Ovis aries: one gene and its partners. The protein of the gene in region 4 interacts with the protein of the main gene of each other region in a pairwise test. Links are inferred from orthologs where the notes say so. Each region holds a gene or a part of one and is shown on either strand. Other genes may lie near its edges.

What was found.
Region 1: the proteins of CREB3 (region 4) and ACSF2 interact in a two-hybrid assay, tested with the Homo sapiens proteins (2 studies listed by BioGRID and IntAct). The two-hybrid records come from large-scale screens. The link is inferred for Ovis aries from reciprocal best matches to the Homo sapiens genes CREB3 and ACSF2.
Region 2: the proteins of CREB3 (region 4) and TMEM203 interact in a two-hybrid assay, tested with the Homo sapiens proteins (2 studies listed by BioGRID and IntAct). The two-hybrid records come from large-scale screens. The link is inferred for Ovis aries from reciprocal best matches to the Homo sapiens genes CREB3 and TMEM203.
Region 3: the proteins of CREB3 (region 4) and DNAJC30 interact in a two-hybrid assay, tested with the Homo sapiens proteins (2 studies listed by BioGRID and IntAct). The two-hybrid records come from large-scale screens. The link is inferred for Ovis aries from reciprocal best matches to the Homo sapiens genes CREB3 and DNAJC30.
Region 5: the proteins of CREB3 (region 4) and RHEB interact in a two-hybrid assay, tested with the Homo sapiens proteins (2 studies listed by BioGRID and IntAct). The two-hybrid records come from large-scale screens. The link is inferred for Ovis aries from reciprocal best matches to the Homo sapiens genes CREB3 and RHEB.
Region 6: the proteins of CREB3 (region 4) and FA2H interact in a two-hybrid assay, tested with the Homo sapiens proteins (2 studies listed by BioGRID and IntAct). The two-hybrid records come from large-scale screens. The link is inferred for Ovis aries from reciprocal best matches to the Homo sapiens genes CREB3 and FA2H.
Region 7: the proteins of CREB3 (region 4) and FDPS interact in a two-hybrid assay, tested with the Homo sapiens proteins (2 studies listed by BioGRID and IntAct). The two-hybrid records come from large-scale screens. The link is inferred for Ovis aries from reciprocal best matches to the Homo sapiens genes CREB3 and FDPS.

The regions. Positions count from the first base shown.
Region 1 is NC_056064.1:36,003,018-36,006,970, forward strand, and holds the start of ACSF2 (medium-chain acyl-CoA ligase ACSF2, mitochondrial), read right to left. Parts: upstream 2,801-3,953; 5' UTR 2,756-2,800; coding exon 2,628-2,755; intron 1-2,627. UniProt on the Homo sapiens protein: Acyl-CoA synthases catalyze the initial reaction in fatty acid metabolism, by forming a thioester with CoA. Has some preference toward medium-chain substrates. Plays a role in adipocyte differentiation.
Region 2 is NC_056056.1:733,601-737,091, reverse strand, and holds TMEM203 (transmembrane protein 203), read right to left. Parts: upstream 2,027-3,491; 5' UTR 1,781-2,026; coding exon 1,370-1,780; 3' UTR 501-1,369; downstream 1-500. Other genes in the region: NDOR1 (NADPH-dependent diflavin oxidoreductase 1), read left to right, coding at 2,150-2,284, 2,621-2,698. UniProt on the Homo sapiens protein: Involved in the regulation of cellular calcium homeotasis. Required for spermatogenesis. Acts as a regulator of STING-mediated inflammatory signaling in macrophages.
Region 3 is NC_056077.1:34,036,460-34,040,673, reverse strand, and holds the start of DNAJC30 (dnaJ homolog subfamily C member 30, mitochondrial), read right to left. Parts: upstream 2,801-4,214; 5' UTR 2,788-2,800; coding exon 2,107-2,787; 3' UTR 1-2,106. Other genes in the region: BUD23 (probable 18S rRNA (guanine-N(7))-methyltransferase), read left to right, coding at 2,996-3,043, 3,143-3,180. UniProt on the Homo sapiens protein: Mitochondrial protein enriched in neurons that acts as a regulator of mitochondrial respiration. Associates with the ATP synthase complex and facilitates ATP synthesis.
Region 4 is NC_056055.1:52,808,428-52,812,621, forward strand, and holds the start of CREB3 (cyclic AMP-responsive element-binding protein 3), read right to left. Parts: upstream 2,801-4,194; 5' UTR 2,655-2,800; coding exon 2,517-2,654; intron 2,402-2,516; coding exon 2,254-2,401; intron 2,179-2,253; coding exon 2,111-2,178; intron 2,000-2,110; coding exon 1,910-1,999; intron 439-1,909; coding exon 332-438; intron 224-331; coding exon 155-223; intron 1-154. UniProt on the Homo sapiens protein: Endoplasmic reticulum (ER)-bound sequence-specific transcription factor that directly binds DNA and activates transcription. Plays a role in the unfolded protein response (UPR), promoting cell survival versus ER stress-induced apoptotic cell death.
Region 5 is NC_056057.1:115,675,351-115,679,285, forward strand, and holds the start of RHEB (GTP-binding protein Rheb), read right to left. Parts: upstream 2,801-3,935; coding exon 2,749-2,800; intron 1-2,748. UniProt on the Homo sapiens protein: Small GTPase that acts as an allosteric activator of the canonical mTORC1 complex, an evolutionarily conserved central nutrient sensor that stimulates anabolic reactions and macromolecule biosynthesis to promote cellular biomass generation and growth.
Region 6 is NC_056067.1:1,638,734-1,642,233, forward strand, and holds part of FA2H (fatty acid 2-hydroxylase), read right to left. Parts: intron 1,791-3,500; coding exon 1,618-1,790; intron 286-1,617; coding exon 33-285; intron 1-32. UniProt on the Homo sapiens protein: Catalyzes the hydroxylation of free fatty acids at the C-2 position to produce 2-hydroxy fatty acids, which are building blocks of sphingolipids and glycosphingolipids common in neural tissue and epidermis.
Region 7 is NC_056054.1:105,483,811-105,487,773, forward strand, and holds the start of FDPS (farnesyl pyrophosphate synthase), read left to right. Parts: upstream 1-1,163; 5' UTR 1,164-2,059; coding exon 2,060-2,241; intron 2,242-2,318; coding exon 2,319-2,481; intron 2,482-3,605; coding exon 3,606-3,746; intron 3,747-3,963. UniProt on the Homo sapiens protein: Key enzyme in isoprenoid biosynthesis which catalyzes the formation of farnesyl diphosphate (FPP), a precursor for several classes of essential metabolites including sterols, dolichols, carotenoids, and ubiquinones.

The DNA of each region.
Region 1 (3,953 bases), on a different chromosome or scaffold from region 4:
GGAAGGAGTTGGTAGTTCAGGAGGTTTGGAGAGCAATGAACAGTTTCTTCTTTCCTTCTGGAAAAAAGAAGCTGGACAGCCCTGACTTGGGTGAATAAGGGATTGTCCAGCAGATCCAAGGGCTAGACTTGGGCCTGGCAGAGGCTGACATCTTGGTAACTAGCCATGAGAGAGAACCAGACGCAAGCAAGAGGACACTTTCTTGAGGGACTCCGCTCCTACCTTCAAATCACTCGAAATGTCTCCACAGACCCCATCTGGAGGTTCTCAGGGACCGACCCTGCCCCCCAAACAAAGACTGAGAAGAGCAAGCCTTTGTCAGTACAGCAAGCAGCAGCGTTAGTGACAAACTCCACGTAGGCTCCGAGGTTAGGTAACGTACTTAAAGTCATGTAGCAAGTAGGCAGAGGAGCCAGGGCTATAACCCAAAGCAGTTTAGCTTCAAAGTTCTTGCTTTTTCCTAACAGGCAAAACTGGGGATCTGATAAGTAACAGGCATGGCGTGTTGGTCAGCAAGAAAGCAGTCTAGGGTTTCCCTGATGGTCCAGTGGTTAAGAATCCGCCTTGAAATGCAGGGGACACCGGTTTGATCCCTGCTCCAGGAAGATTCCACATGCTATGGAGCAACTAAGCCTGTGCACCTACTGAGCCTGTGTTCTAGACTCTGTGAACCGCAACTACTGAGCCCATGTGTTGCAACTACTGAAGCCCGTGAGCCTACAGCCCATGCTCTGGCCAATAAAAGAAGCCACCACAATGGGAAGCCTGGCATGCTGCAACTAGAGAGTAGCCGCCACTTGTGGCAACTAGAGAAAGCCAGTGTGCAGCAACGAAGACCCAGTACAGCCAAAAAATAAATAAACAAATCCTAGAAAGAAAGAAAGCAGGTTGTATGTGACCAGATCAGAAACAGCAAAGTACAGAAGTCCAGGAGCTTTTCACACCATGGCACCTAGAACAGTGAGTAGTAATCATGCTGACTTATCTTCTCCCTCACTGGACTACAACTTCCCGGAAGACTGAGTTTGCTGGCTTTTGTAACAACAGCATCCACCTTGGCTTGGCATGGTGTAAGCGCTCAGGAATATCTGTTGAATGCTTGAGACTCTTGAGGATTTCTTAAGGGCAAGGTAGGAACAAAATCAGGTTAAACCACCACAGTCAGTAGGTAACGCCTTAAGCACAAGGCAGTGGCAGGCATGGAAGGGAATTAGGCCAAATGCTAAGGCAATCTTTCTCTCCATGGATCTCCTCCTGACAGTCAGAATTTCTCTGAGGCCTGGTGCCCCTAATCCTCGATTGTAAGCCTGAGGCAGGCATGAGGTCTGCTTTATTTACGCATAAAGTCAAAGGTCAGGAAGGATGCCATGCGGTCAAAGGTGGCCTGACCTAGCATCGTGAAACATGTTCGCTTTGGAAAGTAAATAAGGAAAGCCCTCACAGTCTAAGGAGCATCCTGAAGACCAGAGGTGAGGCTTGGAGGCTACAAGCTAGCCATGGCAGAGCTTGCCTAGGGAGGCACCGAGGGGGGGGGGGGTAGTAAGTGACCAAGCTAGAGGAGAATTGTTTTCTTCATCAGAATCCCATCTGCTGACGCGCCTTGAGCCACTGGGTTTCCCCAGGAAATTAGGCCTGGTGACCCGAAAGCACGGCATATGCTTTCCATCTTCAGAAACCAGCATGTTCAAAACACTGTGATCTTGGAACTCCAGCCCAAGAAGAGTCTGCCGTCTCCCTCCAACTTCCCTCCTCCTCCTTTTGTTTTTTTAAACAAGCAGTTCTCTCAGACAAGAAACCTCTTCCGGCTTCTAGTCCCTTTTCCATGCCCAGGCCTACACTCCACCTGGTGTTCAAAGCTGTGTCCTGACCCCAGCCCTAGTATGTGGCCTAGCTGGGTGGCAGGGCAGACTCATCGGTGCCCAGGCCTCCCTCTGCTGGGTGCTGAAGGTAAAAGCCACCACTGACCACATCAGTGGGAGCCCAGTTCTGCTTCATCAACACAGTTTCACAACTGCAGACTTACACGGAGGTACCATTAACTTACTTCACTGTTGCAGAGCACATCCTCCACCTGCCAGCCCCCATCCTACCCTCTGCATTGAGGATAGAAGAAAACAGACCCAGTAGGTAGGAAGGAGCCAAGCAGTGTTAGCAGTTGGGGAGAAGAGCAGACACTGCAGAGCTTAGTGGCCTGGGGTGGACAACACGGGGTGGGAGGTCCCCAAGTTTATCAGTGAAAGGGGTCTAGCTCAGAGCCAGTGTCCTGGGGACTGAGCGCAGGCCTTGCCCTTGCCCCTCCCCCTCAGGACAGGCTGCTAGAGGCCCCACTTCTGGTCATCAGTGTGCCCACCAATGGAAGAGCCTAAAGCCCCGGACCAGAGCCCAGAGTCAGTGCAGGGTCCCTGACAGCCACCAGCTGCAGCCACCAGTCTGCGTGGGCAGGCCAGCATTTCCTGTTGCCTGAGTGCCAGGTGCGGGGGTACCTTCTCCTTGGCGTGCGCCACCCGGAGGTGGGGCAGCCGAGGACCTCCCAGCCTGAGCGCGATCGACCCCCAGAGAGGCTCTGAAGGATCCCCAAGACCCCCTCCCAGGGGACTGACCCGTCCCTCTCCTCCAGGGCCGCGTACCTGAGAGGACGGACGCCCCACAACCTCGCTTCCTGCCAAGACCGGGAGAGGCCGACCCGGGCCCCCAGCACCCTCGGGCTCCGGGCGCACAGCCTTGCGACGCGCAGCATCCCGACGTAGACAGCCATGGCTCGCGACGCCCGCGTCCCGGCCAGAGAAAACTTTTAAAGTGCGCCGAGGCGGGGCGAGCGCGGAGCGGGCGGGGAGGCGGGAGGGTCGCCTCTGCCTATGGGTTTCAGAGGACTCGGTGCCGGGCGGGCGGGGCGGAGCGAGGCGAGGCCGAGAGAGGCATGGAGGAAGAGCCTGCTCGCGGGCCACCTTCCCCTGGACCCGCAGCCCTCCCCCTCCTGCCCCCACTCTCGAAGAATTGCCCTGGTTTCCCTCCGGATCGGGCGTCCACGGCCGCTGCCCAAGGCAGGTCTCCCTTCCCAACCACCCGGGGCCTGGGTTTGGAGGCGCAAGACTTTGTTGATTTCGTAGAGGGGCAGCCAGCTGCGCGGCGAGGTCAGACCCGGCCACCGCCCCCCGCCCTGACCCGGCCACCACCCCCCTCGCCCGTCCGCGAGCCGTGTTGGCGCGGGGGGGTCACGTGTTGGCCTACCCCCCCTGCCCGCCCCGGGTTGCAGGCCTGAAGCCAGGGGAGCCCGCGTTCCCAGCGATGCCAGCTGGAGGAGAGGGCCCGCGGCGGAGGGGAGGTAGCTGGGACAAAGGGTGCAGAGCCCCCGGCAGGCCCAAATACTGGCTGAGGATAGATGTCAGCTTCAGAAGGGGCTCGGGTTGGTACCCCCACATCCCAAGCGTCAGTCTCCCATCTCTGCTCCTGGTGGCCTCGGGCATTGGAACCTGTGCCCCATGCTGTTCCAAAGTGTGAATGTAAAGTAAACCTCTCTCTCCAGGCCCTCCCTGAGGCCTTGGAGACCCAGATGCAGGTGCAGAATGCCCAGAAGATGAGTGGCCATTTCTGGACCTGGTGAGGCAAAGAGGCACTGGGCACCAAGGTGGCACATGTGCCAGGTCAGCACGTGTGCCAGATCCGCAGTGTCTCGGTGTAGCCATGACCCTTCCTCTGGAGGAGCGGGAGAACACTGGGGGAAAGGCCCTGGCAGGGTGACCTTCCTGCTCCTGACCCAGAGGTGGGGATATACACTGGGCCAGGAAGAACTGGTGGCTGAGGGTGGGACTTGGCCTAAGACCTTTATTTTTAGTTGGGAACTTGGGCTCAATTGGGGTTGTGAGAAGGAGACTACACTGCTCCTCTTCATGATCCTGAGAGTGACTTCAGAACCCCCTGAAACCCTGGCTCCTGGAGAGGGTCCCCACGTTTCA
Region 2 (3,491 bases), on a different chromosome or scaffold from region 4:
GTGGGGGTCAGGGGTGCCACTGAACACTCTATGATGCCCAGGACAGCCTCTCCCTGCACGCACACAAACAAAAGTGATCTGACCCAAAGGCCAACCGTGCCCAGATCACAAGCCCCGTACACTGCAGGCCACACTCACTCTCTGCCATGGTGTCTTCACAACCCTTTGAAAATGTAAGTTATTTTTAGCTGAGGGGCAGTACAAACACAGGCCCCGTGTCATAGCCTGCTGACTCCTGCTCTGCAGTTCAGTGAGGCCTACAAGGCCTCTGATGGCACACGCCTGTTAGCCCCCAAAGTGGGCCCACCCCCAGGGTGTCTTCACCCTGGCTCCCAGGCAGGGAGCAGGGATGCTCCGAGGGAACTACGCTGCCATCCAACCAGAAGGCTCGAGCCAACTTCCAGCCCTCTCTCACCACCTCAGCTCTGTGACCACACACACACCACACAGCAGGGAGTGGCTCAGCATTGACCCTCAAAAGGTCAGGCAACCACTGTGTGTTTCAGCAAAACACTCTCTTACTTTATTTTCATCTCAGCAAATGTTCTCATTTGGCACCTAACTGGCATCAAACCAAAGCCCTCAGGGTGACAAGCGTGGGCTGAGACCAACTGCAAACTTCCCATGTGTAGGTCTCAATGCCCATTCGCATCAGAACACCTGTTCCTCTCTGGTCCCTCAGAGTGGCCTAAACGTCTCAGATGCACTAACACTGCCGGCCACAAGGTGGTGGAAAAGCTGGGATAGGAAGCCAAGCAGTGCCTTGAAAGCAAGTTCTTTTCTCAGGCGACAGATCTCCGGATAGGGTCCGGGTCACGCTTATTTAACATCCTCCTGTCTGCCTGGGTTGGAATGAAGAAAAAGCTATCCTCCGCAGTGCCACTGGGGAGAAGACACAAGCCGGTTTACACTTTTTAGAGCTCAAGCATCTAAGAAAGTCTTGTCCGGGGAGATGGGGACAGCAAGCGCTCAGGTCAGCACTGCTCGCCAGGGCATATCCCGAGTCCAGCTTTGCAGCCTTTGCACACGGCGTACTTTGCCAGGATCCATGAAAATACTCAAGAGCCCATGAGGATATTTTACTTATATGCAGTTTCTGTCAGGAGTTCAGGATTGTCTGGCCTTCTCAGGATCCTTCTTGGGATCTCAGTTCAAGATTAGCTATTCAAAGTATGAAGTAAGAGAAAATACACTTTAAGAATCAAGGCTTCTCTTTTTAACCCAACTGAGGGAACAATTTCAGACACGACCGATCGAAAACCAGGCACGCAGCAGGGCACAAGCTGGCCCTCAGACTCAAGATTTCTCTGGTGCGGCAGACACGGGGCCTCCGTGTGGGCCCCAGCACTCCAGCCTATCTTCTGCGAGGCTAGTTGACTCGGCAGGCGCGGATCATGAGCAGCTGCAGGAGAATGAAGGCCGGAGACGTGATCAGGCCGAACCAAAGCTCTCTCGTTTGCTCCACCAACTTCTGGCACAACAACATCTCGAAAACGAACTTCAGGCTGAGAACTGTGAGGACCCAGAAAAGGCGGAGCACGGCCAGCCGCTTCTCTCCATCCTGGAAGAGTCGCACGGAGACGATGGTGGTGAAGTAGGTGCTGAGCCCATCAGCAGCGAAGAAGGGCACAAAGACGTTCCACCAGGAGAGGCCAGGAGCCAGGCCGTCCACACGCAGGGCTAGCAGCACAGAGAACACCAACAGGGCCAGCAAGTGCACGAAGATCTCGAAGGTGGCGAAGCCCAGCCACTGCACCAGCTCCCGGAGCGAGAAGAGCATCGCGCCGGTTGGGCGCGGGCCGGGGCCCGGCCGAGCGTCCCAGCTGCCGAGCTACGCGGCCGCGCCCTCCTAGCCTCGCTGGCGCCTGCCGCTGCCGCCGCCGCGGCCAACGAGAGGCAGCAAGCGGCCCCACCTGCCCCGGCCCTCGGCCCCGTCGCGCGGCCGACCCCCCGGCCCCGACCCGGGACCCCTCACAGACCACCCGCCGACGCCCGCCACGCTCGGACGCCATGCCCCGCCGGGCGCGGCCCTAGGGCGTCACTTCCGGCCGACGCCAGAAGCCGGAAGTTGGAGCCGGTCGCGGGGGCCCGGGCTGGCGGCGAGTGCTGCGGGTCACGTCCGGGTTGCGGGGTTCCCCGGGGTCAGCCCATGCCGAGCGCACGACTCCTGGTGCTCTTCGGCAGCCAAACGGGCACAGCCCAGGATGTGTCGGAGAGGCTGGGCCGCGAGGCCAGGCGTCGGCAGCTCAGCTGCCGGGTGGAAGCCCTGGACTCCTACCCCGTGGTGAGGGCTCCTCGGACCTCGGCGGGGGTACCCGGCGGGCTTGGGGCCCCGGCCCCCGAAGCGCTCGGCCCCAGGGGGCTGCGTTTCGTCTGAGAGCGGGCCCTTCCATTACGGCAGATTTAGGGGCCGGGAACGCTTGGGAGCAGCGGCCAGTTTAACGCATGGAGACAGGGGAGCGGTAGCCGAGGAGCCTGAAAGAGAAGGCAGGCAGGCCGGCCGCTCGCGAGCGCTGAGTCCCTTTGCCCCATTCCTCTGAGAGGAGGAGGGGAGCCAGGCTGCTGGGAGGATGCCTGGCCATTACAGCCCGAGGCCTTACATGTGTGTCTTTTTGTTGAGGTGAATCTGATTAATGAGCCCGTGGTGATATTTGTTTGTGCAACTGCAGGCCAAGGAGACCCCCCGGACAACATGAAGGTAAGGCTGACCTGAGGTGCGCTCAGGAGCTCAGCTCCCTGCCCTTGCCCCGCACCCTGGTTTCGTTGCCTGGAAAGACTTGAGCAGCACAGTGGATAATTTTCTCCTGTGGATTTGGGAGGAGATCTCTGGGTGGAGCGGGGAGCTCTGGGTGTCCTTCCTAATAAACTCTGAACCCCTTTAACTTTTCATATTTTTTCCAGGGCTGTATATAAATCTGGTATGGGTCTTGTGTGTATTTCAAAGCTCAGCTTCAGGGAACATTCTTCCATTCTTTGACCATCTTTTGAGCACACATTGTATTCCAAGCATAATCTCATGCTGTGAATCCAGCTATGAACCCAGTAGTCACATTTCTGCCCTCGTGAAACTCAAAACAGCAAAAGCAAATGTTTAACGGGCAGTTACAATGTCAAAAAAATGCACGCTGCAAGAGAAAGTGCTTGATGTTAATGGGAGCATTAATAAGGGCTGCCCCCTCAATCTGGAGGTTCAGAGAGAGCTTTCTAGAAGAAAAGAGGCTAGGCTAAGTCTTGAAGGATAAGTGGGGGCTAGCCAGGCACCAGGCAAGAGGGAGCAGCCTCTGCAGAGGAGAAAAAGAGCCCAGCCACGGAAGAGTGGAAAGCGGTTCAGGACGGTCGAACCAAGGAATGAATCAGGCTTGGAGGGAAACAAAGCGGGCAGCCAGGCTGGATCCCAAAGAGGTCAACAGCCACGGGGAGGCAGAAGGATTTGAAACGAAGGGCCGTGGAACCCATGGGGTGATGCAGTCACGTGTGTATTCCAGCAAAAC
Region 3 (4,214 bases), on a different chromosome or scaffold from region 4:
AGTCCCAGCTCTTTGGTTGAGAATTACCAATTTCTGTACCTTCCACTAAGCTTCACTTGTTTGTGCTTTGAAAAGAACAGACTTTCCCCACCCTGTTTTCCAAATATGAAACATAATAACATTAAATGTTCTTTTTAAAAGTACACATGCCCCTCCCTTCAAACCAAGGCTTGCTGAGCCCAGCAGGTCTGAACCAGAGTGAACTTAAAGCCTTACCACTGATTTACATGGGTCACTGCAAAGCCACGCTGAAGAACTTGCCCCCAACCTCCAAGGCTAGAGAAAAGACCAAGTTGAACCACCTATGGGTTTATCCCCAACTTACACAAGAATTGCACACGCAAGACTGAGTGCAGGAATTGGTGTTAATATAGCAAAGCACCTCTGGCCTTGTTTAGAAGCTAGACTTAGGTCCTGACTCTTGTAGGTCTTCTGCACAAGTTTTCCTATCCCATGGCTTTCTGCTCAACAGTGCATACACACTTGAGTTCCTACTCTCTCACAGCTAATCCACACCCCGTGTGCAGAGACTCAGAGTTAAGAGGGCTGGATTACAACAGCTCTAGCAAGTGATCACCCACTTGTTTAGCACCAGTTAGGAGGAGGCAATGGCAACCCACTCCAGTACTCTTGCCTGGAAAATCCCACGGACAGAGGGAGCCTGGTAGGCTGCAGTCCATGGGGTCGCTAGGAGTCAGACATGACTGAGCGACTTCACTTTCACTTTTCACTTTCATGCATTGGAGGAAATGGCAACCCACTCCAGTGTTCTTGCCTGGAGAATCCCAGGGACGGGGGAGCCTGGTGGGCTGCCATCTATGGGGTCGCCGAGTCAGACAAGACTGAAGCGACTTAGCAGCAGCAGTAGCAGCAGGAACAGAAGAGGGGGGAAGAAGCGGGGGGAGGGGACTTCTCTGGGGATCCAGTGGTTGAGAGGGGAGCATAGGTTCGATCCCTGGTTGGGGAACTAAGATCACGCATGCCTAAGCTGTGCAGCCATAAAAAGAAAAAAAGGCCTCAGTCAGCTCTGAATAAGGAAGTGCATTTCTACATGTCCCTTCTCTCCCTCAATAATCTTGTTTACTCAAACTCCCCCAGTTCCCACAGCCTCAAGTAGCCATGTTTCAAGGACTTGGCTTGGGGGGCCTGTGATAAGCACTACCAGCAGAATGGGAGGCGGGGCCACTCTCAGGCCACTCTTACCTCCACTTTTGTGGCTCTATTTCTAGGAAGGGAGGAGCTGCACAGTTAGTAATGAGGCTGGCTGGTCAAGGAATGACCAGGTGCCAGGCACAGTGTCCCAAGGATAAATCTGGCTCTACCGACATCAATATTTTAATCACTGAGCCTACTAGAACATGGATCATCAAGTATGACAGATCTCGAAAGAGCAAACAATTTGCTCCCCTGCCATCATGCCCACAGATGAATTTCTGCAAGGTCATACATTCAATAAATACGGGCACAGGAAGGCTCACGACCTTGCTTTCTTTTCCACTCCCAGAGGCCACCAACAGAAGGCCAAGTGGGATCTGACTACCCAAGAACGGCTAAGTTTCCACCGATCACATCTTTACCCTACATCAGGTCTCACCTGTGGCTGGGGGAACTCACAAAAAGGCAAGTTTTGTAAGACCCCAGATTTTTTTGTTTGGGCAGCCACAACTGGTCACATTGCACGTTTCAAGGTTACACAGGAGCCCCACATTATACGCGTGGGGCAGGAGCAGACGAGTCTTGCTCGGAGCTTTACAAGAAAGCCAGAACAAATGTTCCAGAAGTTGACATCTGGAAGCAGGCACCCCAGGGCCTCCAGAAAACCCCTCACTCTCGGGCTTTCAGGACTCTTCATTAGGGGCCTGTTTTCTCGAGCATCGAAAAGCCTCCTTTTCTGGAGCGGGGTGGGGGTAGGGACGTGCAGGTCAATGCCTAAGCTGGACAGGTGGGCAACAGAAGGAGGAGAGCAGTTCCTTTGGGCCCCAGCAGAGGTAGACAAATGGAGGCAAGGGGTTCAAGATGACACGCAAGGCCATTTTCTTGGGGGTGGGGTGGGGTGGGGCGGCGGGGTGTTGGCTGGGGGCTGCTCCCCTGCCCTCCAGTCTCCGATTAAATACGAGAGCTCACGATGAGGAAGACGGTGAGCAGAACGAGGACGAAAGCCAAGTCTCGGGTCTCGTCCCAGCGTAAGCCCCTCTTGGCCCGGTCCTCCTGCATCTTGCGGAAGGCCTCCCGGCGCGCCCTCAGGCGCCGTTCGCGTTCCAGCTGCTCACCGTAGTGCGCCTGGTAGAAGGCGTCAAAGTCGAACATGGTGCGCTTGGCTCCCGGCGAGGCCGGACCGCGGCCGTGGGCCCGAGGGCCGGGCGGAGGGGTACGGGGCTTCTCGGAGTCGGCGGCGGGAGTCTTGGAAGGCCTGATGCCCGGACCGCGCAGGTCCTCGTCGCTCAGTAGGCCGCGGTCATACTTGCGACGCAAGGTGGTACTGCCCAGCACCACGTAAGCCTGGGAGATGCGCGTGAAGCGCTCGGCAGCCTCAGCGCTCCCCGAGTTGCGGTCCGGGTGGTAGAGGAAGCTCTGCCGGTAGTAAGCCGCCTTGATTTGCGCCTGCGTGGCCGTGGAGGGGACGCCGAGCAGATCATAGAGCGCCGTGCGCGAGTACGGGCCGTCGCTCCGGGTATAAGTCCTCGCTTCTGGGCCCAGGCCCGATCTCGGGTTTGGGGGAACCCCCCGGGGCTGCCACAATCTCCACAGTAACAGTCGCGACCACCTCAGATCGCGCCGGGCTGCCATCTTGAGGGAATCTGGCGGGCAGTGCAAGATGAACTGGCCAATGGGAGACGTGCGTTTTTCGCAGCCGGTCGGCCCTGTAGCCAATCGAGTAAAAGAGAAGGCGGGACGAGGGGGTGGAGCATGCGTGTTACGGGGCGGGCGCCCGGCCGATGACATAAAAGCCGGGCTCTGGAGCCGCTTGCACGAGTTCTGCTGTTGAGGCGTGGTGATGGCTTCTCGCGGGCGGAGACCTGAGCTCCAAGGGCCCCCGGAGCTGGTGAGGGCTGTGACCGCCCCCGCCCCTCTTTTTTCTCCTAGGGCGTCCGCGTCTTGATATCTTACCCGACTCCCCCCAATTTTTTTCTCGTTCTTACAGTATTACGACAAGAATGAAGCCCGGAAATACGTGCGCAAGTAAGGGAAGCCTGGATGTTGCCGGGGGTCGGGGGTCGGGAACCGGCAAGTTGCCCTGAATGCAGAGGTGCTTGGAAAGCACGCAGAATTTGGGGGTGGCGGAAGGAAGAGACTTGAATTGATCCATTGTTGACACCGTCAAAGTCAGCTCTTGAGTAAAACTCCTAATTCTCTGGGTCTCGGTAATCTTAGTATCAGCATGGGAGTGATCATACCTGCTTTGTTTAAGGTGACAGCTTATTTTAAGCGTGTGAAGAATTAGGTAGGACGGAGTGGTTATGTGTAAACCATCAGTGCTGTTTGTAGGTGGGGGAGAGAAATAATATCCGTAGAATGTTTACTGTATGTCCCAGTTTACAGTGTCTCAGTAAATCTCGGGGCTGCTGTTGGTAGAGTATCTGAATTTAAGAGAGGGTGGTTTTATGTGTAATTAATGAAGCCAGTTAATAGGTGAGGGCCAGGGCAAGTACTTCCAAACGTAGTCTTTTCCGATACAATACTCTAAAAAAGTTCTGCAGATACTAATAATCTGTTTTGTCTTTTTTGTTCCAATTAGAGTACTAGGGTCAGCAAAAATTTATGGCCAGTCGTCATTATTTAGCAAAGAGAAAGTTTTTTCCAATTGCAGAGCCCTGTGTTCAGCATTTTGGAAACTTGTTATGTGTGACTTTCTCTGTATCTTGGGAAAGCCAGATACAGTCTAGACTTTAATATGGTAACCAGTAGCCATCAGCCATCTCTTGAAACATATTTAATCTAAAGAAAATGAAATATTTATTAATTGTTTTTTTATGTTACATATTAAAATGATGTTTTGAGCATACTGGATTAAATAAAGTATAATATTGAGTATATTGGGTTAGGTTAAGGATTACTGCAGTTAACTTTATGTATTTAGTTTCTTTTTAAATGGAGCCTCAAGAATGTCCTGAGTGGCTTGTTATGTTTCTCATGGAGAGCACTGTTATAATTTTTATTGTGCATTGTTGACCCTTCTACATGGGAGTAGCTACAGTGGATAATTCTTCTAGAAA
Region 4 (4,194 bases):
CTGTGAGCTTCATGGAATCAGAGACCCACTAAAGACCAAGCATCAGACATATGTGAGAGATGCCCGGTGACAAATCAAATATGGAGCAGGAGAAAGACTGAGACAGTAGTAAGCGGGAGGGATGAGCAAACCCTGATGTGAAAGAGCTGCTTACAGATTCTGTTCCTCCAGGAGCTGTACTTTGTTCTGTAGCTCCAGATTCTGGGCTGTGTATTTCAGGACCCTGGAGGAATAACAGGGATGTGGGGACATGGCCTGTATCCTCCCTTCAAAAACCTCACACTTCCAATTACCTGTTTCTCCCACCCCCGAGTCCAGCTCCCTTTCATACCTGCTTTCTAAACCCCCCACATACACCTTCTTCTTCCTACGGCTCTCTTGAGCAGACTTTTTGTTTCGAATCTTCCTCCGCACTCGTTTCAGGACTTGTTCCTCCATCTGGGAGAAGACAGGAAAAGGGATCCCATCAGAGGAACATTAGACCAAAGAGTTTGAAGGCAACCGAGTTCAATCTTCTCAAAGCAGAGATTCCTTCTACAATTTCCCTGACCAATAGGCACTCTGCTTCTGTCTGAATGCTTCTGTCCTCACAAGCCAAACCATTGTAACAATTTTGTTAGATAATTTTTTTTTAAAACCTTCCTTATGAGCCAACATCTGCCTTTGTTATTTCTACCTGTTGGACTTACCTAGCACCTAATCTCTGGGGCCATAATAGAACAAAGGTCTTCAGCTATTTTAAAGCACTTGGCATTTCTTCAGAGTTAAAAAAAAAAAAAAAAACTGGGCAAAAATTTTAACTCATCATCTTATCTCTTCTCAGGATGGACTGCATCTTCTTAATATCTGTCAAAGATAATAGGCTCAAAACTTAAGAAGCTTTTTGGCCAATGTAAAAGAAAACAAGATAGTTACTGCCCTTCTAGTGGCAACACTATTAGATAACTGGTATCTGATGATACAACTGGGCTTCCCCAGTGCCTCAGCAGTAAAGAATCTGCCTACAATGCAGGCGACTCAGGAAACACAGGTTCCATCCCTGGGTTGGGATGATCCCCTGGAGAAGGAAATTGCAACGTACTCCAGTATTCTTGTCTGGGAAATCCCATGGACAGAGGAGTTTGGGGGCCATAGTCCATGGAATTACAAAGAGTTGGACACGACTTAGCGACCAAACAACAACAACTAAATCTGATGATACAGCTTCTAAACCCCATTCTCTTCCTTAGTAGCCATATCACACTGTTGACTCAACTTGTACTTTTTTTTGGCCACACCTCGCACTTGTGGAATCTCAGTTCCCAGACCAGGGGATTGCACCCTGGTGCAGACCAGGATTGCACCCTGACCCTGAGCAGTGAAAGCACAGAGTCCTAACCACTGGATTGCCAGGGGATTGCCTCAACTTATATTTTTGAGAAATTAAAATTGTTAACCTTTCTGTTAACAGACATTGATTTCATCATAGTATCACAATACTGTGCATGTGAAACTGCCTCTCATTGCTTGAAACTCCAAATTTCACATTTACTCTTGTTATACTACTTAATTGTTATACTACTTGTTATACTACTCTAATACTTGATTTACTATTCAGCTACAAGTAAATTGCATGAAACCAGTGAAATATAAGTATCAGAGCCCCGCGCTTGTACAGTACTTTCCAAATCCCTTTACTAATATTACCCTGATAATTTTGAATTCTTAGTTAAAAAGAACACCAAAATTTATAAAAGCACTACAAACCAGGATCTGTCCTTGCAAGCAGTATACTAACCACATGCCCCAGCTTCCTACTCAAAAATGTGCTAATCTCTCACCTCAATTCTTTTTCAAGTTACTGATACAAAATTAACAGAACTGGCCTACTTGGAACTCACAACCCCCGTCCCCGCGATGGGAGACTTACCTTAGTGAGTGGAAGCATCCCAGGCAAAGTAAGCCCCTCCTTCTCCAACAGCCTTTTCTCCTCCTCAGTCAGTATCAGCCTAGCAATCTCCTGCGGTTCCGGAGAGATGGGCAGCAGAGTTGCAAAGGGATTTCAGAAAGTAACGCGGAATACTGCCCCGACCCGCGCAATACGGAAATAACCCTCCTATAAGTCAAGTACCTGATCTGCCGGCTCCTCCACACACAGTGGAGTCATCTGAGTCCCCTCTTTTCCATAGCTCTCATTATCTGCAAAAGGGAAAATATGAGTAGTCAGGCCTCGGAGTCCTCTCCTTTCCCAAACTTCACTTATTTCAGGCTTACCTAGATCTATGGAGACATGCTCTTGTGAGAGAGAATAGGTGTGGTCATGCTGGACAAGACAGGAGTTAGAGCTGCTGAAAACGTTCAACGATGATGGGGGACTCGGCAGGCAGCTCAGGAAATCCTCCACGTCCCAATCGCTCAGAGACTGCACAGGGTTCAAATTGACAGGCTTTGACCATCACCACCCCCTGCCTCAGGGACACCCCTACCCCGCCCACAAACCCGCCTCACGCCTCCCCGACTCAGAGCCCCCCACTCGCCTCAGAAAGTGGCAGCTCCCAATCCGGCGGAGACGCCAAGGCCTCGTCGGGCGCCGCACCCAAACCACCGCTTTCCTCTAGCAGAAAGCCTAGCAGGTCACGGTCACCCGGGTCCAACGCCAGCTCCATATGAGACATTTATGGAAAAGATGCGCAGAAACACAGGAGTTCACCTCGCCACCCGGACCCTATCCCCAACCAGGCGTAACCGCGACGGACTGTCAGTCGGCCCCACCTATCGGCTCTTCAGCGGCGTTTTCCTCCTAGCTGCTGGCGAAGGCTCTGAAACCGGGACACGCCTTCCAGACTCCACTCCCCGCTAGACTTCCAACAGAACACAAGTGACGCACCTACCCGCGAGGCATGCCGGGAGTTGGAGTCCCCCACCCCACCCCGACGCGGAGGCTGCCGCTGTACGCGCCACGTCCAGGGCGCGATGCAAATAGAGGGGACGTGCCTTCCGCCTCCGCAGTCCCTGAGGGCGGGCATTCTGAGGAAGCGGCTCCGCCCCGGGCTAGAAAAAGGAAGGATTACAGCCTAAAAGGGAACTAGGGCGCAGTTCTGGCGCTTCCTCGGGACTGCACCGCACCCTCGCTTCCGGCTGGGGAGGGGCTGCCGGTCGTCAGCGGGCTCCCGAGCATCGAGAGCTGGGGCCAGAGCAGCTTCCTGCAGTGCCCGCGACCATAGAGCGCGGGCCCAGGGCGCCGCCCGCGGGTGGGGGACGTTCCCGGGACGGAAGTGGCCGAGAGTGTCGAAGGGAGGGCGAGGCCGCAGCCCGAGAGCCACCGGGAGAACGAGCGGGTTAGCGGGCCGGCGGGCGGGGCACAGAGCCGGGCAGCGCAGGTAGGCCGGACCGGGCGAACTGGGGCCTCAGGGTGGGGCCGCGACACCAGGCCTGGGAGGCGGGCGGGCAGGGCCCCTGACTTCTGCGTCTGTTTCGGGTCATCTTGGAGAGGTTCGCGTCCGGTGTATCTCTGCTTGTGCTCTGAGTTAAATAGGCAGTTTTTCGGCAGCCAGGCCCTTCCTGGAGCAGTCCTCGGCCTAGGATAGTTTAGAGGGAGGGTGAGGAGTGGGTGGCAGTGTGACGCAGGGCGGGGATCGGCTTTGAGGTTAGCTGATAGCGGGTACGTGAGCAGGAATGGGTGAGTTGGAGATTAGGTGGAGTTGGGTTTTAGGAGTTAAGGTTAGCTTTAGGAGTGTGCAGCTGGGGTTAAAATTTAGATTTATTAGTGTGAGGTGCGTTTTGTGTAGGTGAGGTTTGGATTAAGGGCATTATTTTGTTTTCTATAACGACCAACATTAGAGTTCAGGTTAAGGGTCAACAACAGAAACTAAGTTAGAAGTCCAGATTTAGGGATTAGAGAAGGTTAGCATAGCCAGTACAGGGGATAAACAAGAAAGGGGTGAATCAGGAATCAAGTGACAAATGAACTTTAGGTTTAGGGATGAAGATTCAGGGTTAAAGGTCCAGAGTTGATGCTACAGGTAAAAATTAGATCAAAATTAGGGATCAGGGATTGGATTCAGGTATGTGGTAGGACAGGGATGCCTGTCAAATCCAGTACTGGGAATCAGGAGACAAATTATGGTCAGCATTAATGTTAGAAATTTCAGGCAGTTTTCTGTGCTGTAGTTGAGGTCAGGGTAGTTGACCTCAGGCAGGTGAAATTTAAGAGAC
Region 5 (3,935 bases), on a different chromosome or scaffold from region 4:
AAATAACAGGAAAGGTGCTTCAGGACAAAAAAAAAGTTGTATAAATTATCTGAGAATTCTGTTTTTCTCACTGTTAAGTTTTTCCAGTGTTTTTAAAATAACTACAAAATTTGAACACCAAATAGTAAAACAGTCATTGCACTTCGTAGTTTCATCTGAAGGCAAACAAGAGTCATGTCCGGCTCTTTGCGACCCCATGGACTGTAGCCCATCAGGCCTCTCTGTCCATGGGATTCTTCAGGCAGAATCCTGGAGTGGGTTGCCATTTCCTTCTCCAGGGGATCTTCCTGACCCAGGGATTGAACCTGGGTCTCCCGCATTGCAGGCAGACACTTTAACCTCTGAGCCACCAGGGAAGCCCAAACTTTTAAAATAAACTCAGAATGACAAGTATTTTACAAATTAAACTGGCATACGATATTTAGTCAAGAGAATATTCTAAGAAAGATGCGGTTTCAGGCTTAGGCTTTTCCCACCTTCTTTTCCCACCAGTCAATATGACTCTACAGTTTAGCATCACAGTAACACAACCTAGGAATACAGGTACTCAGATTTCTCTACCCTAGCATCATTGGCAAGCAGACAGGTCAGTGAACTCGGAAGTCTGAGTTATTCTCTGAAGAGTGACTAGGATGTGGAATCAGGGAACTATCTCCGTTTCTGATGCTGGCAAAACAAAAAAGCCCACAAACTACAAAAAGTCCTGGTTCCTAACAAAGGTAAACAACTGTAAAATCAAATGCAAAGACTGGTAGTCATTGAACCTGTGCAAAACACATTTTAATCATCACCACATATGAAAATAAACACGGAGACAATGGAGCAGGCTTTAGCAACAGGAAGGCACAGGAAACAGGGACTGGACCTGCTCTGGGTGCCCCTGGAGGCTGATCCAGCACAGGAGCATCTCGGTGAGCAGTGGCTTAAAATAAACGTGAAGTGAAGGCAAACGGGGGACGTGTCACCTCTGGGTCTTCAAGAGGATGGGATTAGAAGGCAGGAAAGACAAAATTGGTTTCAACTGGACCTAAAGAACTTCTTTAACAAACAGTGATGAAATGGTAGACTAGATTACTGGCGACTGGAATCACCACCTCAAGAATCTCCAGGGGTAAATAAGCCAGAATGTTTGGGACATTCTCTTCAGTTGAAAGCAGGCAGCCCAGGTAATTCATGTCACCTGTAACTTGATTATTCAGACACTGGTACCTTTAACTATGGGCACTCTGAGGAGATAGAACTCATTCAAGAGACAGGATATGTCCGAGTCCCACTCTTCACAATGCAGAGGAGGAAAAGAGAGAGAACAGAGAAGCAAAGGCTCTGAGACACAGACTGTCAATAAAGGGGGGATGCAGTGGTTCCATATGTGCATTCGGGGCTGTTAGAGACTTGAAAAGCCTCCATCTGACGCCCGGAGACTTGACGGCTGCAGTTGTTAAGACTGTCACCTCTCCTCCCCCTCCCTCCACGATCATCGCATCTCACAGGAGTTACCCCCAGGGCTCCTGGCGCCCCTTATCTGTACACAAGAGTCTCTCACCCTCTCATTTTGATACCCCACCCCCCAGCACTTTGACAAAGAGAGGTAATAAAAGGATGAGTAAGCACGCCGCAGCTCATCTTGGTCAAAGAGCACAGACCCTGGCACCGACCGTGGAAAATGGGGGTGAAGAAGCAGAAAGGAAAGCGAAGTCGGGGAGTTCGGCCAATGAGCAGGCAGTTACCAGCTTTCCCAGGGCAGTTCGTGTCACCTCCTTCTGCAGTCACCACAGACTCCGAACCCCTGCCCTCGCCACCCCCACCCCACTGTGGTCAAGTGCGCCCTTTTCCTTGGACAGCTACTTCTTAAAAACAACACAGAAGAAGTAATTTTTCCAGACTTCCGGTTGTCAAAGACAATAAAAACCTCACCCTGAAGCATGGTTAAGTTCAACGGTTCTGTTTCCTCCCTCGTTTTCTGGCATCCCGTCCACCACCTCTCACCCCAGACCACCTCTGTTAGGGGTGGAAAAAGCGACTGCCACTCTCAGTTTCAAATATATGTCAACCTTTGGCGGGGTGCGGGGAGGGGTACTTTTGAATTACTTCGACATTCTGGTTACAAGTATCTGACCTTATTTTTTCCTCCCCAAAGGAAAAGACAGGACACCAAGTGGCCAGAAATTTCCCTTTTTCTGCCCTCCTACTTCGGTCGCTGGCAGCATCTTGGGAGGCTTCCGAAGCGGGAGGTTTCGGGGGGGTGGTGGTCTTTCGAGTTTCTTCCTAGGAAATTGGCCCTCAGCAGCCAACGTCCTCTGAGCTCCCGGGTTTGCTTTAAAATGTTCAAACTTCACAAGACAGAAAAATTACGGCTAAGGAGCCACGTCCTTTGTTGAAGCCCCACGGGTTTTAATTTGGGGTGGAAAAGGCCACCAGCAACAATCACGGACTGCTCCCCGCGGGGAGGGGGGACAGGTGCTACTCCGGGGCTGTGGAGGGCCCTGCGGCGGGCGGCGTGGCGGCCAACCCGGCCCGGCCCGACCCGAGCGCCCGTTCGCCCGCGGCCTCCCACACGCGTCCCCCGCGCTGCCCCGCGGGCCCCGCCGCGCCGCCGGCCTCCGCTCCAAGATGGAGGTGGCGGCGACGGCGGGCGGCCGGTTACGAAACGCGCGGCCGCCACATGGCCGCGCCGGCCCCAAACTTGGCCGGGCCCCGGGCGAGGCTCGGGGCCCGGGGAGCGAGGAGGCCGCGGCGCCCGCCACTCACCCACAGACCGGTAGCCCAGGATCGCGATCTTCCGGGACTTGGACTGCGGCATCTTGGCGGCCTCCTCAGCCCCGGGTCAACCACATCAACCGCGGCGGCGGCGGCTCCTGCGCTGCGATCGGCGGCGGCCGCGCCGGGGCACAGCGGCATCCAGGGGCGGGGCGGGGCGGGCGGGCGCGGCTGCCTCAGCTCCTCGCTCGCGCGCCCAACCGCCCGGAACCGCCGCGCGGCCCCGCCCCCAAACACGCCCACGTGACCGCGCGACGCCGCAGGCGGCTCGCGTCAGCACCGCCCTCCCGCGGCCGCGGCCCCTTCCCCCAAACGCACGGGGTGTGCGTCGGGAAGTGTTTTACTTTAAAGGGAAAAAGAGGGGACGCCGAGATGCCCCTGGAAAAGTCACGACTAAAACTCGCTGCGTCATGACCCGCCCACTGTCTTCCGCCGCTTTTTAATGACGCCAGCTCTCCCCGAGCGCTGATTGGACAGTTCCCATCCGCCCGCGCGCTGACGCGACGGAAACTCCTTCTCCCATTGGGGGGGCGGGCGGTGAAGAGGCGGGCCCGGAGGCGGGGGCTGCTTGGCCCGGCAGCTAAAAATAAACGCCGACTACAAACGCGCGGCTGGGCGCCGGTGAAGTTTGGAGGCTTAGAGCTTCTGAGGGGCTGGAGGCGGGTGGGAGGGGCGGAAAGAAGCTATCTCCCCAGGGATTGGTTAGATCGCGGGGAGGGGGCGGGGCGAAGCGTGGGAGGTGCGGTGATTGGTGGGCCGCTGAGCGGTCCTTGAACTCGCGCCCGCTGAGCCCTTAAAAGGCACGAGGCTGGTGGCGGGTGCCTTGCTGGGCTCTTGGTTGGCTGATATCTTCCTCGTGTGTGTTTTTTTGTTTTTGTTTTAAAATTGCTGCATTGGCTTTCGTGAGTCTAGGTTGGAGGATGTAGGTGATGACGAAGCATCAGCCATGGGTGGAGGACCATGGGAAGAATGGAGTATGCGTTCATTGAAAATGTGAACGTGTTTCATGAAAAAAGCGTTCTCCTCAGTTTTCATGCATCTCCTCAGTTCCGGTCTTAACGCTGGCGTTTGCGGATCCCAGACACCTCACGGGAAAGGAACAGCGCCGGGTCGACGCAGGTTTAACTGTCAACACCTGCATGGCTAATTGAGTAAGGCAGACTTAAAACACCCGCCGT
Region 6 (3,500 bases), on a different chromosome or scaffold from region 4:
GCTGAGGGAGGGGTGGCACGGTGGGTCCTCACCCGACTGATGGTGTGCGAAGTGGTGCTTGACGTGGTGGGCCTTCAGGTGGTACAGGTAGGAGCCCTCGTGGGGAGAGCCGAAGTGAAGGTAGTAGTGGATCAGGTCGTAGATGACATAGCCCAGGAGGCTCCCCGCAAACACGGTGCCTGCCACGGCCGCGGACAGGACGAGCCGTAGCAGCAGGTAGAAGGCGGCTATCATCAGGGAGGCCGGCACGGGCGGGAAGACCAGGCGGGAGGTGTCGAAGGGCGCCTGCGGACAGAGGCTCACGCGTCAGGACACCGCCCGGGGCCCCAGGGCCTGCCTGCGGTCACACACCGCACGCTGGCCGGAGACGCTCCTTCGGGAGAGCGGCTGGAGCGGCCCAGACGGGCCAGGGAGGGCGCAGGCCCTGTGGGCGGCTTGGGGAGGGCAGGCCACCAAGCCTGAAGCCCTGGAGAGCCTGCCCGGCCCCAGTAAGCCAGGACAGGAGCTGGGAAGCTCCAGGAACGTGGGGGTGGGGTGGCGTGGGCAAGATGCTCACAGGTAGGAGCAGCTTGCCTGAGAAGCTCCGTTCTGCACTCAAGAGGCCACTCTGGCCCTGGAACTTGCTAGGTGTGGAGAGGAGCCCGGAGCCCCCACCCCCACCCCGAGGACCACGCAGGGCATCGAGCCCGAGGCCTGAGGGCGACGAAGGCACACATGCTGGGCGACCCTGGAGCTGTTGACAGGCAGGTCTCCCCCCCAGGTGGCCTTCTTTGCTCCAAGGGGGTGCTGTCACATTGAACCAGACCACGAAAGAGCCTAGCCTCTGGTCCTGAGGCTTCACAAGCCAAGGGCCTGGCAGAGGTGAAACTTTAGAGACTGCGAGCATTGCGACGAGACCCTCTCTGGACTGAAAGAGGAGAGAGAGCGATCAGGTGACCGAGACAGAACACCACACTGGCGTGGGCCCCCCTCCCCGCGGACCGGAGCAACAGCAGGACCTGCGGGGCTCCGTGCCAGAACCCCAGCTCCTGGTCAAAGGGGAAGGAGGGCGAGGGGAGGGTGGGAACCCTGCGGCAGGACGGGAACAGCGTGGGGCAGGGACATCCTCTGGGAGGACCAGGCTTCCAGTCCTCACTGCTGGGACCCTGTGTGTTGCCCTGAAGGAGCCCCAGGGTGGGTGGATGACCGACAGCATAGACTCTGGCGACCACAGGGGACGACATCCTAGGGTGACCTTGGCTGAATGGCTTAGTTCCTTTATTTCCCCAAGCCTCAGTCTGCCACTCTGTGGAATGGGGAGAACGGCAGCACCCGCTTCAGAGGGAAGGTCCACAAGGTCAGTGATTCTTGCCTGTTTTGATCGATGGTGTCCAGAACAGCACATGGCACATAGTGAGCGGTCAGTGAGCGTTTGTTGAACAAGCAAATGAATGAGCTGTTGTGAGGATTAGCGTTGGGCAGGCATGCTCACTCTGTCCATGGCCGGTTCAGGCTTGGACCCAATCACATGCCCTTGACTTCTCCTCGCCCTCAACCCAACCCCCACCGAGACGGGCGCTCCTGAGGGCAGGCATCAGCAGCATGGCCTGGGGGGGGGGGGGGCACTGCGCTGCTCACCTTGTGGTGCTGGCCGTGCATGGCGAAGTGTAGCATGATGAGGTAAGCGCTGTCGCTGGGCGGCTTCATGTGGAACAGGAAGCGATGGATGAGGTACTCCACGAGGCTCCAGAGGAACAGCCCCAGCACGAAGAGGCCCGGGAACGCCGACTCAGGCATGGCCACTGAGTACTCTGCATCAGGCATGAGAGAGGGAGGTCAGGGGCTGGAGGCCCCAGCGGCCCAGCCCCATCACATTGGGGGCTGCTGCCCTCGGCTCTGCAGCTGCGGGGCCCAGCCCCACCACTGGGACCCGAGAGTCAAAACAGGAAGGACACTGTGAGGATGTGTGTGGGCTTATTTAGGAAGAGTCCCGTCAGAGGACGACTAACGTGGTGGATCACACTGATTTCAGGTATTGAGCCACCCTTGCGTTCCAGGAGTCAATCCCATTTCGTCATGGTGCATAACGCTTTAATATGTTCTAGGATTCAGTCTGCTAGTATTCTGTTGATGACTGCTGCCTCTGGATCCCCGAGTGACAGCTGCTCTGGAGTTTTCTTTCTTGTGGTATTTTTGTCTGACTTTGGTATCACGGTAAGATTTGACTAGAGATCTGAGATCTTCCTTAAAGGGACCGTGAGAGGAACAGCCGCGGCCAGTGCTGGACCTCTGCCCGGTGCTATGGTCTGCATGTGTCCTCTCAGATCCACATGCTGAAACCTAACCTCCAGGGTGATGAGAGGTGCTCAGGTCATCAGGCGAACAGGACTAATTCCCTCATGAAAGAGGCGCGACAGGATCCTCCCCTTTTTGACATACGAGTACTCAAGGAGTCTTTGACCTAGAAGAGGGCTCTCCCCTGACTATGCTGGCACCCTGATCTCAGACTTCCAGCCTCTAGAATCATAAGCAATCAATTTGTCGTTTACAAGCCACCTAGTCTATGCTGTTTTGTTACAGCAGCCCACATGGACTGACACCAGGAAAGAGTGACCTTGCCTCAGTGGCATGGAGGAGAGGGAGAGGTGATCCTGATGAAGCCAGCAGACCTGGGGGCTGTTGATGGAAGATGTTAACAACCATCTCCCCAGGGAAGATGGGGCCAGGGGGACAAGAGGGTCAGGAAAACCCAAGGAGAGAAAGGTTCACTGAGAACATCTAAAAACCACAGCATGCGAGGGAGATGCGAAAAAACGGACGATTAGCCTGGAGACCAAAAGACTGGAGTGATGCCATTATCATCACGTGAGGCCCCTGCGCCCCGCTCCTGGAGGACGGCCTGCAGTCCTCACGGCCTTGGTTCCTTTTCTCCACCTCACTGATTCTCTAACTTCACAGGGACTTCAGCTCTCACCGTGTCTTCAGGTCTACCGTCACCCGCTAAGTTTTACTTCTTTTCTCCACTAGCCACTGCTTTGGTTATACTTTCTCTTGAAAAAAGTGGCAGCTTTATTGAAATACCACTCACGTATCTTACAATTCACCCATTTAAAGTGTATAGTTCAGTGATATTTGGTATATCTACAGTTGCACAACCATCACCACAATTTTAGAGCCTTTTCATCACCCAGAAAGAAACCCTTTACCCATTAGCAGTCATTCCAACCTTTGTCATTTCCCAGAGCCAGGAAACCTCTAATTTACTTTCTGTCTGTCATGTTTTCTGATTCTGGACCCATCATACCAATGGAATCATACAATATGTGGTCTGTTGTGACTGGCTTCTTTTGTTTGCAATATTTTTAAGGTTCACCCATTTTGTAGCATGTGTTAGAACTTCATAATTGTTTACCCACTCACCAGCTGATGGACAGCTGAGATGTTTCTATTCTTTTGGCTATTCTGAATAATGCTGCTATGAACAGTCCTGTTTTTAGTTGTCTTGGGTATATTCCTGGGAG
Region 7 (3,963 bases), on a different chromosome or scaffold from region 4:
GAAGGGTATGTGTGTGTAAGGAGTGTGTGTGTACAGGGTGTATGTATATGGGGTGTGTGTGTGTACCCATGGTGGGTGAACTGTGTGTGTGTTACCCATGGTGGGTGGGTAAGCGGTGTGTGTAAGGGGTGTGTGTGTGTAAGGTGTGTATGTGTGTTTAAGGGGTGTGTGTGTACAGGGTGTGTGTGTGTGTTACCCATGATGTGTGGGTAAACTTGTATGTATGTGGTACCCATGGTTGCTGGTAAAAGGTGTGTGTGTGTGTGTGGCTGAAGGGTACGTGTGTGTAAGAAGTGTGTGTGTACAGGGTGTATGTATATGGGGGTGTGTGTGTTACCCATGGTGGGTGTGTAAACTTTGTGTGTGTGTGTTACCCATGGTGGGTGGGTAAACTGTGTGTGTGTTTGTGTTACCCATGGTGGGTGGGTAAACTGTGTGTGTGTGTGTGTTACCCATGGTGGGTGGGTGAACTGTGTGTGTGTGTGTTATTCATGGTGGGTGGGTAAACTGTAAGTGTGTATGTGTGTGTGTTATCCACGGTGGGTGGGTACACTGTGTGTGTGTACCTGTGTGTAGGGATAACGGTTCTGGTTTCTCCTTGAGTCTTCGCTTTGTTGAGCACTTAAAGCACTTTATATACTTTATATCACGGTGTTATCCTTTCAAAGAAGTCAACTGAGGCTCAGAAGTTACACGACTGGCCCAAGTTAGACAACCAGTTAAGTAGCCATGATGGCCCCCCTGGGGTTTTAGTAACGTGCCACTCAACTGCACAGGAAAATAATGACAATTTGAGTAGTAAACAACGACTGTTGAGAGCCTGAGTTCAAGGAATTCCAAACCTGTTCGACTCCCTGCAACTTCACCCCATCTTCCGCCCACTCCAGCCCTGTTAGCTTCAGGTCCCGGGGGTCAGCCCTTCCATTGGCTATTGGCTACAGGGCCTCATGCTCATACGAGGGGAAGTAGCCAATCAATGTGGCTCGTCCCCGCCCAGCCAGCCCGCGCTAGATCGCGTAATCGTTGCCCCTCCTGTGGCATTTCGGGAATTGTAGTCCAGTGAAGCATTGCTGCCTGCAGTGAAAGGAGATCGAGAACTACTAGATCCAGCGACCCGAGCGCCGCGCGGTCCAGCTTTTAGGAGTACCCCTCCAACAATCAGGATCTGCAACCAGCATCCAGGAACAGGTGAGAGAGGTCGAGGGCTGGGACCGGAGGCAGGGGCTAGAAACTCGGTCTTAACTCTGTAGCGCAACTTCAAGGCACAGGAGGTCCAGTCTGTTGCGTCGGTGTTCCCCCGTTTTGGGAGTTGGTGGGACGGACTAGCTGACACCGTGGATGTGCAGAAACTCCCGAACTCTGCCATGTGCTTTCCTGGAATCCCAGTATAACTGCACCCTGCTTTGCTCTTCCGCTGCGAACCCTACTCACCCACCCACCCAGTGTTGCTCCGAGGCTGTCAGCACAGTCCTGGCTCTGTGAGGTCCAGTCCCAGAGCCCCAGACTACATGTCCATAGTACCCAGGGGTTCTGCGTTCACGCCTCAAAGCCTGCGCTCCCCTCTCCCTGCCTACCAAGGGAGACTTGGGTTCTAGATTTGGCGCTGCCATTCCCCGGGTACCTCCTACCTCCTAGAGCCTCAGTTTGGCCTCTATAAAAGAGGGTGATTTAAAGATCCTCCCAGCCCCCGGTCCTGAGGTCCTTTACTCTGGATTCTTCAGTCTGTGCTCCAGAATTTGGAGGAAGCAAGCAAGAGTATAGCAATTCCAGAGGCTCCTTTGTGGAGGCGTTGACGGTTTCTCAGCCGGGTAAAGTTACATGGCTTTGAGTCCTAGCCTTCTTATTTTAAGTATGATCAGCTGAGTCTTGGTTACCCAGCCGTACTTTTTGTTCCCTGAGTTTCTTTAAGTGCCCTCCAGCTTAGCCCAGAAGAGAGTGGGGCATTCTGGGTACAGAGGTGGAAGGTTGGAGGGTGACTTGGGGAGCTGACAGCGTGCATCTGCCTCTGGTGCTTGCCCCTGCAGGGAGTGCTCAATGCCCCCTCTCTGTGCCACCCCCCATGCTGCCCCTGTCCCGCTGGCTGAGATCTGTGGGGGTCTTATTGCTGCCAGCCCCGTGCTGGGTGCCCCGGGACAGGTTGCTGGGTCCCCTACGGCGACCCACCCTGGGGCACGGGTGCCCAGTCCTGGGGGCCTGGCACAGTGCCCGCTGCTGGCGGCAAGCGTGGACAGAGGAGCCTCGGTGAGTCTGGCAGGGGTGAGGGGCCTTGGGGAGGGGAGCAGCTGATTAGGTTTCTGACTTGTCCTCCCTCTTGTCAGAGCATTTTACTCCTCCCTCAGAATGAATGGAGACCAGAAATCGGACGCGTTCGCCCAAGAAAGGCAGGATTTCATCCAGCACTTCTCCCAGATTGTCAAGGTGCTGACTGAGGAGGACATTGGGCACCCAGAGACAGGAGATGCCATTACCCGACTCAAGGAGGTGAGGGATTTACAACTCGAGAGGGTGAACCTTTGCAATCTCTGCACATGCGTGGGGTCTCTCTATGGCTCTGGGGTGACTTTTGATAGGTGTGGGAACAGACTTTTATCTGAGAGACTCTGGGTTCATTCTGGAGGGGTCGGAGCCTGGGCAGGTCCAATCAGTCCAGCTTTGTGGTTCTGGTAGGCCAGACATACTGCTTTGCATAGGGGTGGATCGCCCTGGGGGTGAAGGCTTTGATCTGGGTAAGTGTTTGATTTTGTTAAGACAGGGAATTAGGTGTCCAGAAATCATAAGGGGCTATCTTGGCAGGGACCTGGGAGGAAGGGAGGAAGCAGTCTGAAGTGGGGCTGAGTAAAGGTAGTGTTCCATCAGAAACCCCTCCTCTAGGGCAGGAACTATTTGTTGAGATACCTACGTTGCCTGATTCTTTTGGAATATCTAGTGATTCTTTTTGTAATGCCGTCTCATTTGTCTGAGGGAAACTAAGGAAAAGGAAGTCTGTACTTGGATGGAGATTAAAAAGGGAAGTCTTCCCAGTGAATTGCATCTGGTTGATAACAGGGCAGCAGAAGGCAAAATGAGAAGCCCCAGCAGGAGGCAATGCCACTGAAGGAGTAGCGGATGGTCCCCCAGCCTGAGTCCCCTCCAAGCTGTCCTCTGGCTAACCTGGGGAGGAGGGCGCTTGTCTGAGTTAAGTGAGAGGCTTTTTATTGCAGATAGGCTGAACCGTGGAGGGGGGTCGCAGAGGAGGTGGCTGAGAAGGGAGGAATGGGGGTGGGAGAGACCTGAGCTAGCCGCTCTCTTGGCATGCACAAGAGTTTTCCCCGGGTTCAAGCCCTGTCTGGGTTTGGGAGCAGATCTTAATCTCCAGTATGGAGCCTTTCAGTGTTCTGAAGAAGACAACGCAGAGAGAGCCTGGGGACTGGGGAACTTCCTGCTCTGCCCCACGACTTGGAAGAAGCCAGGAGCATAGTAGTTCAGGGGCTGCCTGGAGGAGGGGTTGGGATTGAGGAGGATAAAGTTAGGTTCCCTGGTCTCCGGTGGGAGAAAACAAGGAGAAATCTCAGAATAGCTGCTCCGCAGACCCTGATGCCTTCCTTGTCCCTCTGCTATTCCCCCAGGTCCTGGAGTACAATGCCATCGGAGGCAAGTACAATCGGGGTTTGACGGTGGTGGTAACGTTCCGGAAGCTTGTGGAGCCCGGGAAACAAGATCCTGACAGTCTCCAGCGGGCCCTGACTGTGGGCTGGTGTGTGGAACTGGTGAGAAGGGTGGGGAGCAGCAGGCAAAGACGAGGTTTACTAGAGTGGGGGTGCCCTGGGTGGGATGGGGTGGGACGGGAGGGAAGGGATGGGCCTGAAACTCGGCTTCTCGGTTGTGTTTCTGTGCATCTAGTGTGCTGTGGCCAGACTTAGTGACGAGGGGTTAACAGATGTGGGGAGGCCCTTGTACCAGAAGGTGCGTGTTTCACCTGTACTC